Linked DNA regions of Coturnix japonica. The protein of the gene in region 2 interacts with the protein of the main gene of each other region in a biochemical or structural test. Links are inferred from orthologs where the notes say so. Each region holds a gene or a part of one and is shown on either strand. Other genes may lie near its edges.

Region 1 (4,309 bases), on a different chromosome or scaffold from region 2:
CCGCCCCGAGCAGAGGCCTCGCGCAGCCCGCAGGGATCGGAGCCGCGTGCCCCGACGGGGCGGCCGCCGTCACACACGGAGAGGATGAAACGCGCCCCGGCGCTGTGACCCCGCGGCCGGAACCGGGCGGAGGGAGCCGGGGGCAGCCGAGGAGGATGGCGGGGCCCCCTCGGGAGGAGGGAGAGCGGGAGAGACCCTCCTGCAGAGGGTGACATTTCTCCACGGCCCGAGACCCCCAGAAAACAAACGCGGTGGAGCCTTAAGCGCTCGGTGATGCGAAACGCGGACGCGGGGGGGTGTGGAAAGCGGCACCATCCGCGCTGTGCAGCCGGGGGCGGCCGACGGGGCGGTCCCGATGTGCAGCCCCCGCAACCCGACCTCGGCTCCATCCCTCGGTGGTGACACAGCGAAGGGGCAGCGTCGGAAAGAGAGCGGCTCCCACGCCGTGGGAGGATGGGGGGGCTGAGCCCCAGAAAGAAGAGCGCAGCGTCGGGATTCTGCCATCAGCAGTGTTTAATTTCGGCTGTTTGGGTACAATAGAAAAGAAACCTGAAAGCACACGCGAGGTCGGTAACACAGACTCGAGACAGACAGCTGCGGGCTCACTGCGAGGCAGAGCTGGGGGGAGCAGGGGGGGGGAGGCAGACAGAGAGAAACGCTCCTGCAGAAGGGAAGGGCCGTCCGCACTTATTATCGCTGTTGTTACTGTCCTAATGTGGAGCCGAATCGCTGCGTGTCCCGACCGGGGAGCAGCACCGCCGCGTTAAGACATAGGCACTTGGTAAAACCCTCATACTGCCGCTTCCTAATTGTATCTATTTTGTCTTTTTTTTTTAATTTTTAAACTACATCGAAATCCTTCCGGTGAAGCTAAATACCAAAAAAAAAAAAAAAAAAAAAAAAAAGGTAAAAGAAAAAGAAATGTAAACGAAAAGTTCCCCTCCCTCCTCCCGCTGCCACAAAGGGCCCTGCGCTTCCTCTGCCTCTGGGCCGCAACAGTTGGGATTTATGGGGCGCAATGGGATCCGGGGTTTAGGGTTGGATTTTCCACCACCCCCCCCCGCCATCTCCCCTTTTATTTCTTAGTTCTGTTGTTGCAGTTCTCACTCACTCGAACTCAAGGCTGAGGGCTTTGTGCCGCTCTCTGCATTTGGCTACGTGGAAAAATAATAATAATAATAATAACAATAATAAAAATAACGACAGTAGGGAAGGGAGCGAGGGGAGGGGGGGGACCGGACCTGGAGCTGAGACCGTGGAGAAGAGCCGAAGTGACGTTGAGGATCACCGTCCGCTATGTACAACCGAGAGTCCGTGTCCGCGAGCGGAGCCCTTTAGGAGCCCAGGTCCACCAGGCTGGAGGTGAGCGGCCCCAGCAGCGAGTCCTGGAGCTGATGGCCAGGGAGGCTGTGCGTGCCCGGGGGGGCGGGCAGGGAACCCAGCGGGTACGCGGAGCTCCTGCCGTGAGCGAGGTTCCCCTGCAACAGGAGGACCGAGTTCTGATCCGGGCTCTGCGGGGGTGAAAATTCTTCCTCGGAGCTGGACATGAGGGGTTTGCTCCCGTCCAGTGGGGAGAGTTGGTTGGGTTTGTTGGTGGCCGCGTTGTTGTTCTCCGTGTTCTCCCTGCGAAGGCAGAAGCACAGCGGGCGGTCAGGGCGGGGGCCTCCGGGATGGGGGAAGGAAGGAAGGGGAGAGGGGGAAAAGAAGGGAAGAAAGCGCCCGGTCTGTTCCTAACGGATCGTCCCGCAGCTGCCGGGCTCGGCCCCTATTTAGACAGCTGCTGCGCATCGCCAGCCCCGGAGCTGCCGGGGGCCGAGGTGAGGAAAGACGCGGGGATTCCGCCGTTTCTTTTTGTCATTCTTTCTCATCGCAAATCGCAGCGCGGCCCCGCGGGGCCGGGAACGGCGTTCGGTGGGGCCGGGGTTGATTCTCGCCCCGCGGGGCCGCGGGAGGACGCGGAAGCGGGAGGCGATGAGAACCGGGCCGCAAGAAACAGCCGCCCCGAGCCCGCATCGCGCACAACAGCCGGAGCTGCCCCCGGGGCCGGTAGCTGGGCCGCGACTCTCGAGGCCCGGAAGGCACCGAACAAAGGCGGGGGCGGCTCGGGAGAGCAGCAGGAGAGGAGGGGGCGGAGGGGGGTCGGTGCCCCCCAGGCAGGTGGGAGCGGGTCGGGACCGGCGGCCCGGAGCTTCGGTGCCGAGAGTCCGGCGGAGAGAGCGAGGCGAGAACGGGGCGTCGGGGGGAGCGGAGCGGAGCGGAGCCGCTGTCCGAGCGGGGCCGGGAGGAAAAGGGAGCAAAGCGGGAGGGGAAGGCACGTACCTCTCCTTGGCCTCCGCCGCCCGGTCCCGCTGCCGCCGGTTCTTGAACCAGTTGCTGACCTGCGTGGTGGTGAGCCCGGTGGCCTCGGCCAGCTCCCGCTTCTCGCGGGGCGAGGGGTAGGGATTGTGCGCGTACCACTCGCGGAGAACGCTGCGGCTCTTCTCCTTGAAGCAGTAGCTGGTCTCCTCGCCGTCCCAGATGGTTCGGGGCAGGGGGAACTTTCGGCGCACCCGGTATTTGCCCACGGCTCCCAGCGGCCGCCCGCGCAGCTTCTCGGCTTCCACGTAGTGCGCCTTGAGCCAGAGCTGCTGCAGCTTGGGGTGGTTGTGCGGCGAGAACTGGTGGCTCTCCAGGATCTTGTAGAGCTCTCGGAAGTTGCCCCGGTGAAAAGCCACCACCGCTTTGGCCTTGAGGACGCTCTCGTTCTTGTGCAGGTGGTCGCAGGCCGGCAGCGACCAGAGGAAGCGGCCCAGGCGCTCCAGGTTCCCCCCCTGCTGCAGCACCTCGCACACGCAGGCGACCTGCTCCTGCGTGAAGCCGAACGACGGCAGCATCGACATGGCCGGGGCCGGGAGCCGAGGGGCGGCTCGGGGCTGCGTGCGGCACCGAGAGGCGGCGGAGGGGCGGGGAGAGCCCCGGGCCCGGTCCCGTCCCCAGAGCGGGGAGGCGCGGAGGCGGCGGCGGAGCGGGGGGGATGGATGCTCGGCCGAGCGACGGGGGGAACTTTGCCCCCGCTCCGCCGCCGCCGCCGCGCTTAAAGCGCCCGAGCCCCCGCGCCGCGCTGATTGGGCGCCCGCGGCTCGGCCCCCGTCGCGGAGGGCCCCGACCCGGCCCGGCCCAGCCCAGCCCAGCCCGGCCCGGCGGGCAGAGCCTCGGCACGGGCGGGCGGAGCCTGGAGGAGCGGCCCCGGCCCCGGCCACGGCGCGGCTGCGCGGGTGCGGCTGTGGCTGCGGGGGGAGCTCCGGGCACGGCGCGCCCCGCACCCCGCGGGCAAATGCGCGGCCCTCCTGCTTCCAGTCCGCTTCGTTTGTTCGCTTTGCATTTTTTCTTTATTTATTTTTTCTTTTTTTTTCTTTACTTTTTTCCTTGTTTTTTTCTTTATTATTTTTTTCTTTATTTTTAATTCTTATTCTTTCATTTATTTCCTTTCATACGTTTTCATTTCTTTTATTTCTCCTCCGTTCTCTGACACTCCCTTCCCCGTCCCGTCTTCCATCACCCTCACTCCAGGCGTGAATGAATAAATACCGCCCGTCCTCACGGCGGATGCCGCGCTCTGAATAGCAGAATAGCAGAGCGGAGGCTCATATCCCCCCCCCCCGGCACCTCTCCGCCTCCCCCTCAGCCCGGGGGGGTCCGGGCCGGGACCGCTCAGGTCGGGAGGGAGCGGCCCTGGGAGCTGCCCCCGGGGAAGAGGAAAGAGAAAAAAACAGCGGCGGCGCTTTCATTCTCCCAAATCCTCATCTGCACACCTCGCTCCAAAGCAATTATTGCAAAAATTAGAAAGCAATTAGGTTCCCCAAGCAGAGATAAGCTGCCGTCGGGAGCTGGGGCGGGCTGGGAGATGGGGACAATGCGCTGAGATAAGGGCGGGGATGAGGGTATCTTTATGGCAGCGTTTATACGCGCTGAGATAAGCGGAGCGCTGCGCTTTGAGCACCCTCCAACCGGCGTTTGGGTTCACTCCGTGGGTTCTGAGAACAATCGAAGGGCTCTTGAAAACCTGTTTGTCTCCTCTAAGAACGGGGTGATTTATTCCGTGCTCCTCAAGGACGGGCCGGGCCGGGGCTCCGAGCTGTGGCCGGCGATGCTCCCGCAGCCCGATCCCGGTACCCGATACCCGGCCCCGAACCCTCCGGGTGGACCCGGCCGAGTCCCTCTCGTCGCACCCCGGCTGCAGGCCCCGCCGCCGTCCCCCCATGCACCGGTGGTTGTTTTTCCCACGTATTTCTCTTCTCGGGGCTGTTAAATAAAGCGCTGCCGCCCGTCT
Region 2 (4,271 bases):
AAAATCTACTGGCAAATGGCAACACCTCCAGGCCCTGAATGACACAACCAAGGTACGCAACTATTTGCGTCCTAATTGAGGGGCTTATCCTCACCTGATTAAAGCAGGGTGTTTGTTAAACATCCTTACTTGAGTTAAGATCTGCAAATAAGGATGAAGAACTGTTTTAAGAATTGGGCTGCCGTAAACAATCGTTTTTTGATGAGAACTCTTAAAAACAGCCCCAGTCAAGATGGTCTTTCTGGCTTTTCATTAGAAAAATGAGGGAAAGTTTTGATCAGTTCCACCTTTTCCTCTTTGGTGTAACTATTTTCTGTCCTGTGTAGTACAATGTGAAGCGTAATGAAAAGAACTTGATTCTTAGTACAGCAGTTTCACTGTCGCTGTTCATAATACACATGCATACAGTAACTATCCATCAGAAAGGGCCGTACAAGTTTTCCCAGTTTATCTACAAATTGAGCCCTCAACTTCTGGGATATATTAAAATTCATCATGTTAAAACTGCAGAGTTCCATGGTTTATGAAAGCATTTGAATTTGCAACCGAAGGGTTCATCCCTAATAAAAGTTACTACAAGGCAAAGTGAACTCAGAAACATTTTCCTGGCATTCTAAGACCTTTTTTTTTTTTTTTAAGGAACAGAATTTTAAAAGCATTTTTCACTGCACAAGTAATCTTAACAATCATTTCCACAGATTAAGTCTAACAACCTGTGAATTTATTACAGAAGAAATTTACTGCAAGGAATAATTAGTCTTCAGCACTGTTCTTGCTTGCTTTCCAGCTGAAGACACCTTAAAGCCATCTGGTTACTGCAAAATTTGGCACAGAAGAAACAAATCTTACTGACGAGAATTATAGCTGAATTCAGAATAGCTGCTTTACTGCTACACATCATAAATAACAGGCGGGAAGACAGCAGAAAATTACTGACTTCTTTAATTGTTTTCTTTCTCAGCAGCCTGCACCTACACACACCGACACACAAATGCAGCTACGGTGACTTCAGCAGAGCACCTCACTGGTTTGAGCTTTAACATACCACTAACTTTTGCAGGATTCACAGTGAAACTATTTTCTTTTGCAGAAAAAATCCATCACATTGGCCAGCTATGGAAGGACAACAGCAGAGGAACAGACGAGATTCTCAAAATGCTATTCTGAGACCATGGTCTTCATGAATACGTGAGTCAAATCCCTTTGTACAGTCAAGGTGCGTCTGTATGCAGAACACCGAATGCGGGACTTAATGATGAAGGGGGAATTACCAACAATATATTTATTTCTCCCTAATGAAGCTTTTCTAATGAAATTTAATACTGCCAAGGTTGCGAGATATTTGAAACAGGAGCCCATTTCAAACCTTTCAGCCAAATGCTGGTGATAGCATTAGCGAGGCGTGGGAATCGAGTCTGTACGTAGTGCTGTAAGAGAAAATGAGCTGAGGGGAGCGGGCTGAACAAAGCAAAGCAAAATAGAAAGAACGATGGCTTCAGACCAAAGGAGTAAAGGAGTACACACTTGTTATTAGGCCAAATGTTTTGACCTGCTGGTTGGGAACATAGAAGAGAAAGAGGCATGAGAACTGGCTGGATGATGTGACTCAAAAACTTAATTTCGCATCACACAGTAAATTTATTATTATCTTTTTCTTAAGATGCAAATCAGAATAATTAATTCAAGTTATTTGCTGTAGCATCATTGCAAGTGAATTTTCAACATATATTTCAAAAGGTTTTGGAATGTTTCCAAAGCTGCAAACACTAAGTATTTTCAGGGTATTTGTACGGTAAGCCTTTCCTATTTACGTATGTAATATTTAAGCCCATAATATTTGAGCCTTAAGTTTCAAGGCAGAATTAATAATCCAGGTTTGTATTAGAGAAGAAACAGTTTATTCAAAGCAAAAGGGGCGAGGAGAAAAATTATCTCGTACTTAGCAACATGTAACACAAACCACAGTGCAACGTGGGATGCGTGGAAGGAGCTACAAAACATCAGCTTACACATAGGAGCTGTAGTTTGAATAGAGCCCAGCTTTTAGGCACCAGATCCCCCAGCACACACAGCGGGCAGAAAGCAATTCGTCGTGCTTCCCCAAAGGTTCCGGGGAAAACCTCCTGGAGAGAGCAGCACAGAAGGAGGATCTCAGCAAATCACAAAGTGCACGAGAAGGACTAAACAATGCGATACTCCTATTGCCCTGAACGAAGTCAAGGGATGTGTGAATCTGATACCGTGCTGAAGAAAATTCCCGTTAATAAATGTGATTAAATGTTTATTGGTTAACCGTGCGCATTTAATAGCTAAACTTTCACCCTGCAGAACACAGCACCATTCGAAAGGTCCGAGCACAGGAGCTGTGTTCCATCGCTAATTTCCGTTAGCGGCTGTTCGCTGCGCTCGGGCATAACGTAACGCTCCAAAAAGTGTATTTCAAGCGCATCAATCACTCGAGAAATTTTCCTCACAGGAGCAATTGCAAAAAAAAAAAGAGCATAACTAACTTTATTTAAACGCACATTTCAGTTTGCAATAGAATAACTAACCGAAGCTGGCTTAAGGTAAAGCCGGACGGTCCGCAGCGCATCAAATACCCGCACCGATTAACCCCGCCGCAGCCCGTACGACCCGACGTGCTGTCGCGTTTCGCCCCGCAGCGCGTCCGCGGGAAGCGGCGGGGCCGGGACAGGCGCTGCCGTCCGCTCCGGGTCCCGTCCCGCTCCGCTCCGCGCCGTCCGTGGACGCGGGATGGACGCGGGCAGCCGCTCACGGAACCCGCCGCCTCCAGCCCATCCGCGGGTGCGGGGCGGGCAGCGGACCGTCGTTCCCCCGCCCGTACTCACCGGAGCCGCAGCGCTGCGGAGTGTGCGCGCCCGCCGCGGGCGCAGTGAGCATGTGCGAGGCAGGCGCGCATGCCCGCGGATAGGAGCGGAGCGGAGCGGAGCGGGGCGGCGGCTCCGCACCCCGCGCCGCGCCCTCCCCTCCCCGCCGCGCTTCCCCGCGGTGCGTGACCTCGCGAGGGTCCGTCCGCAGCGAGCCCGACCTGTTGCTTCCCCGCAGCGAGCCCGCCCCAGGGCAGCCCGCACCGCGCCGCCGGCCCCGCACAGCCGCGCACAGTCCCGCAGGCGGCCGTCCCGCCCCGCACCTACCGCACGCGTGGGGCCGCGCCGCCTCGCAGCCTGTGCCCTCGGAGCTGTCCGGCCGCTCGCTGCTGCCCGGCCCGGCGGAGGAGGAGCTTGCAGCGGCTCCCGCACGACGCGGGGCCCGGCCGGAGCGCGGGGCAGCCTCTTGTGCGGTCACCAACGTGTCCCCCTGAGCGATCCCGCTGCTCTGCCTGCTGTGCTCAGCGCTCCCCCGCGCTTTCTAACTTGCCGGGCCGTGCTTTCGCTTGCTAGCAGGTACTCCCTCAGCGTGCTTTCTGCTTTCAGCTTTATCCGGCCTGATGCTCTCAACTAAGGTTTAGCTGTATGTTTTTAAGAGGGATTCTTGGTTTAAAACGTGGGCATATGAACACAACATCGACTCCTGTGTCAATTTTTAAACCTCAATTTTAAAAGAATATTTGGAGGAAGTTTTTTTACACGCTCTCCCACACTACCACAAGACCTGCAGAGCTGCAGGAGCAGTCCCGCTCATACAAAGCATCCCTCTGCTCCCACCAACACGAGCATCGCACAGCTCCTGGTGGCCAGGGCTGAACTCCCCCCACCCCACGCCATCCTGCTTCTGCCTCCAACATCCCCGCAGGAATCAGGCTGCATCCGTGACCATATGGAGGCGGAAAAGCCAAAGAGCACAAAGGGTGTCTTTGTGCTTCGCCTCGTCCCAGCACACAGGTAGCACACATCCACCCCTGCCCACCAGCATACCTGCTTGCTGGGGAAGCAGCCTGGCCACGGTGGCATCGGGGTGTTTTGCTTCTGCACCCTGCTCTTCCTCTTTTCTCTCCTCTTTCCAGCTGTTCAGGGCAGGCTGCAGCTCTCCTGTTCTGGCTCAATAGTGGACGAGAGCCTCCAACCCTTGCCTTGACAGCTTTTATTACACCTAGCCCTTTCCTCAGGAAGGGGAGATCCCAGGAACCGCTGTGGAAAAGCCAAAGGAACACAAAGGGTGTTGAGTTCAGGGTTTGAACAAGCTGCAGCCCACTCATGGATTTAACTCAAAATTTTGACAATGGAACAAAAACATCATTGCAACGAGACAGCTGTTTTTACTATCAAAATCTCTCAGATCAGTTTGACTGCAAAGTGTGTTCCTACAGTCAT

Evidence for each region.
Region 1: the proteins of EYA2 (region 2) and SIX1 form a complex in vitro, tested with the Homo sapiens proteins (2 studies listed by IntAct, with this or other methods). The link is inferred for Coturnix japonica from reciprocal best matches to the Homo sapiens genes EYA2 and SIX1.

Annotation. Positions count from the first base shown.
Region 1 is NC_029520.1:49,457,689-49,461,997, reverse strand, and holds SIX1 (homeobox protein SIX1), read right to left. Parts: upstream 3,056-4,309; 5' UTR 2,880-3,055; coding exon 2,320-2,879; intron 1,624-2,319; coding exon 1,335-1,623; 3' UTR 493-1,334; downstream 1-492. UniProt on the Homo sapiens protein: Transcription factor that is involved in the regulation of cell proliferation, apoptosis and embryonic development. Plays an important role in the development of several organs, including kidney, muscle and inner ear.
Region 2 is NC_029535.1:4,986,554-4,990,824, reverse strand, and holds the start of EYA2 (eyes absent homolog 2), read right to left. Parts: upstream 2,985-4,271; 5' UTR 2,921-2,984; coding exon 2,850-2,920; intron 2,283-2,849; exon of another isoform or gene 1,091-2,282; intron 1-1,090. UniProt on the Homo sapiens protein: Functions both as protein phosphatase and as transcriptional coactivator for SIX1, and probably also for SIX2, SIX4 and SIX5.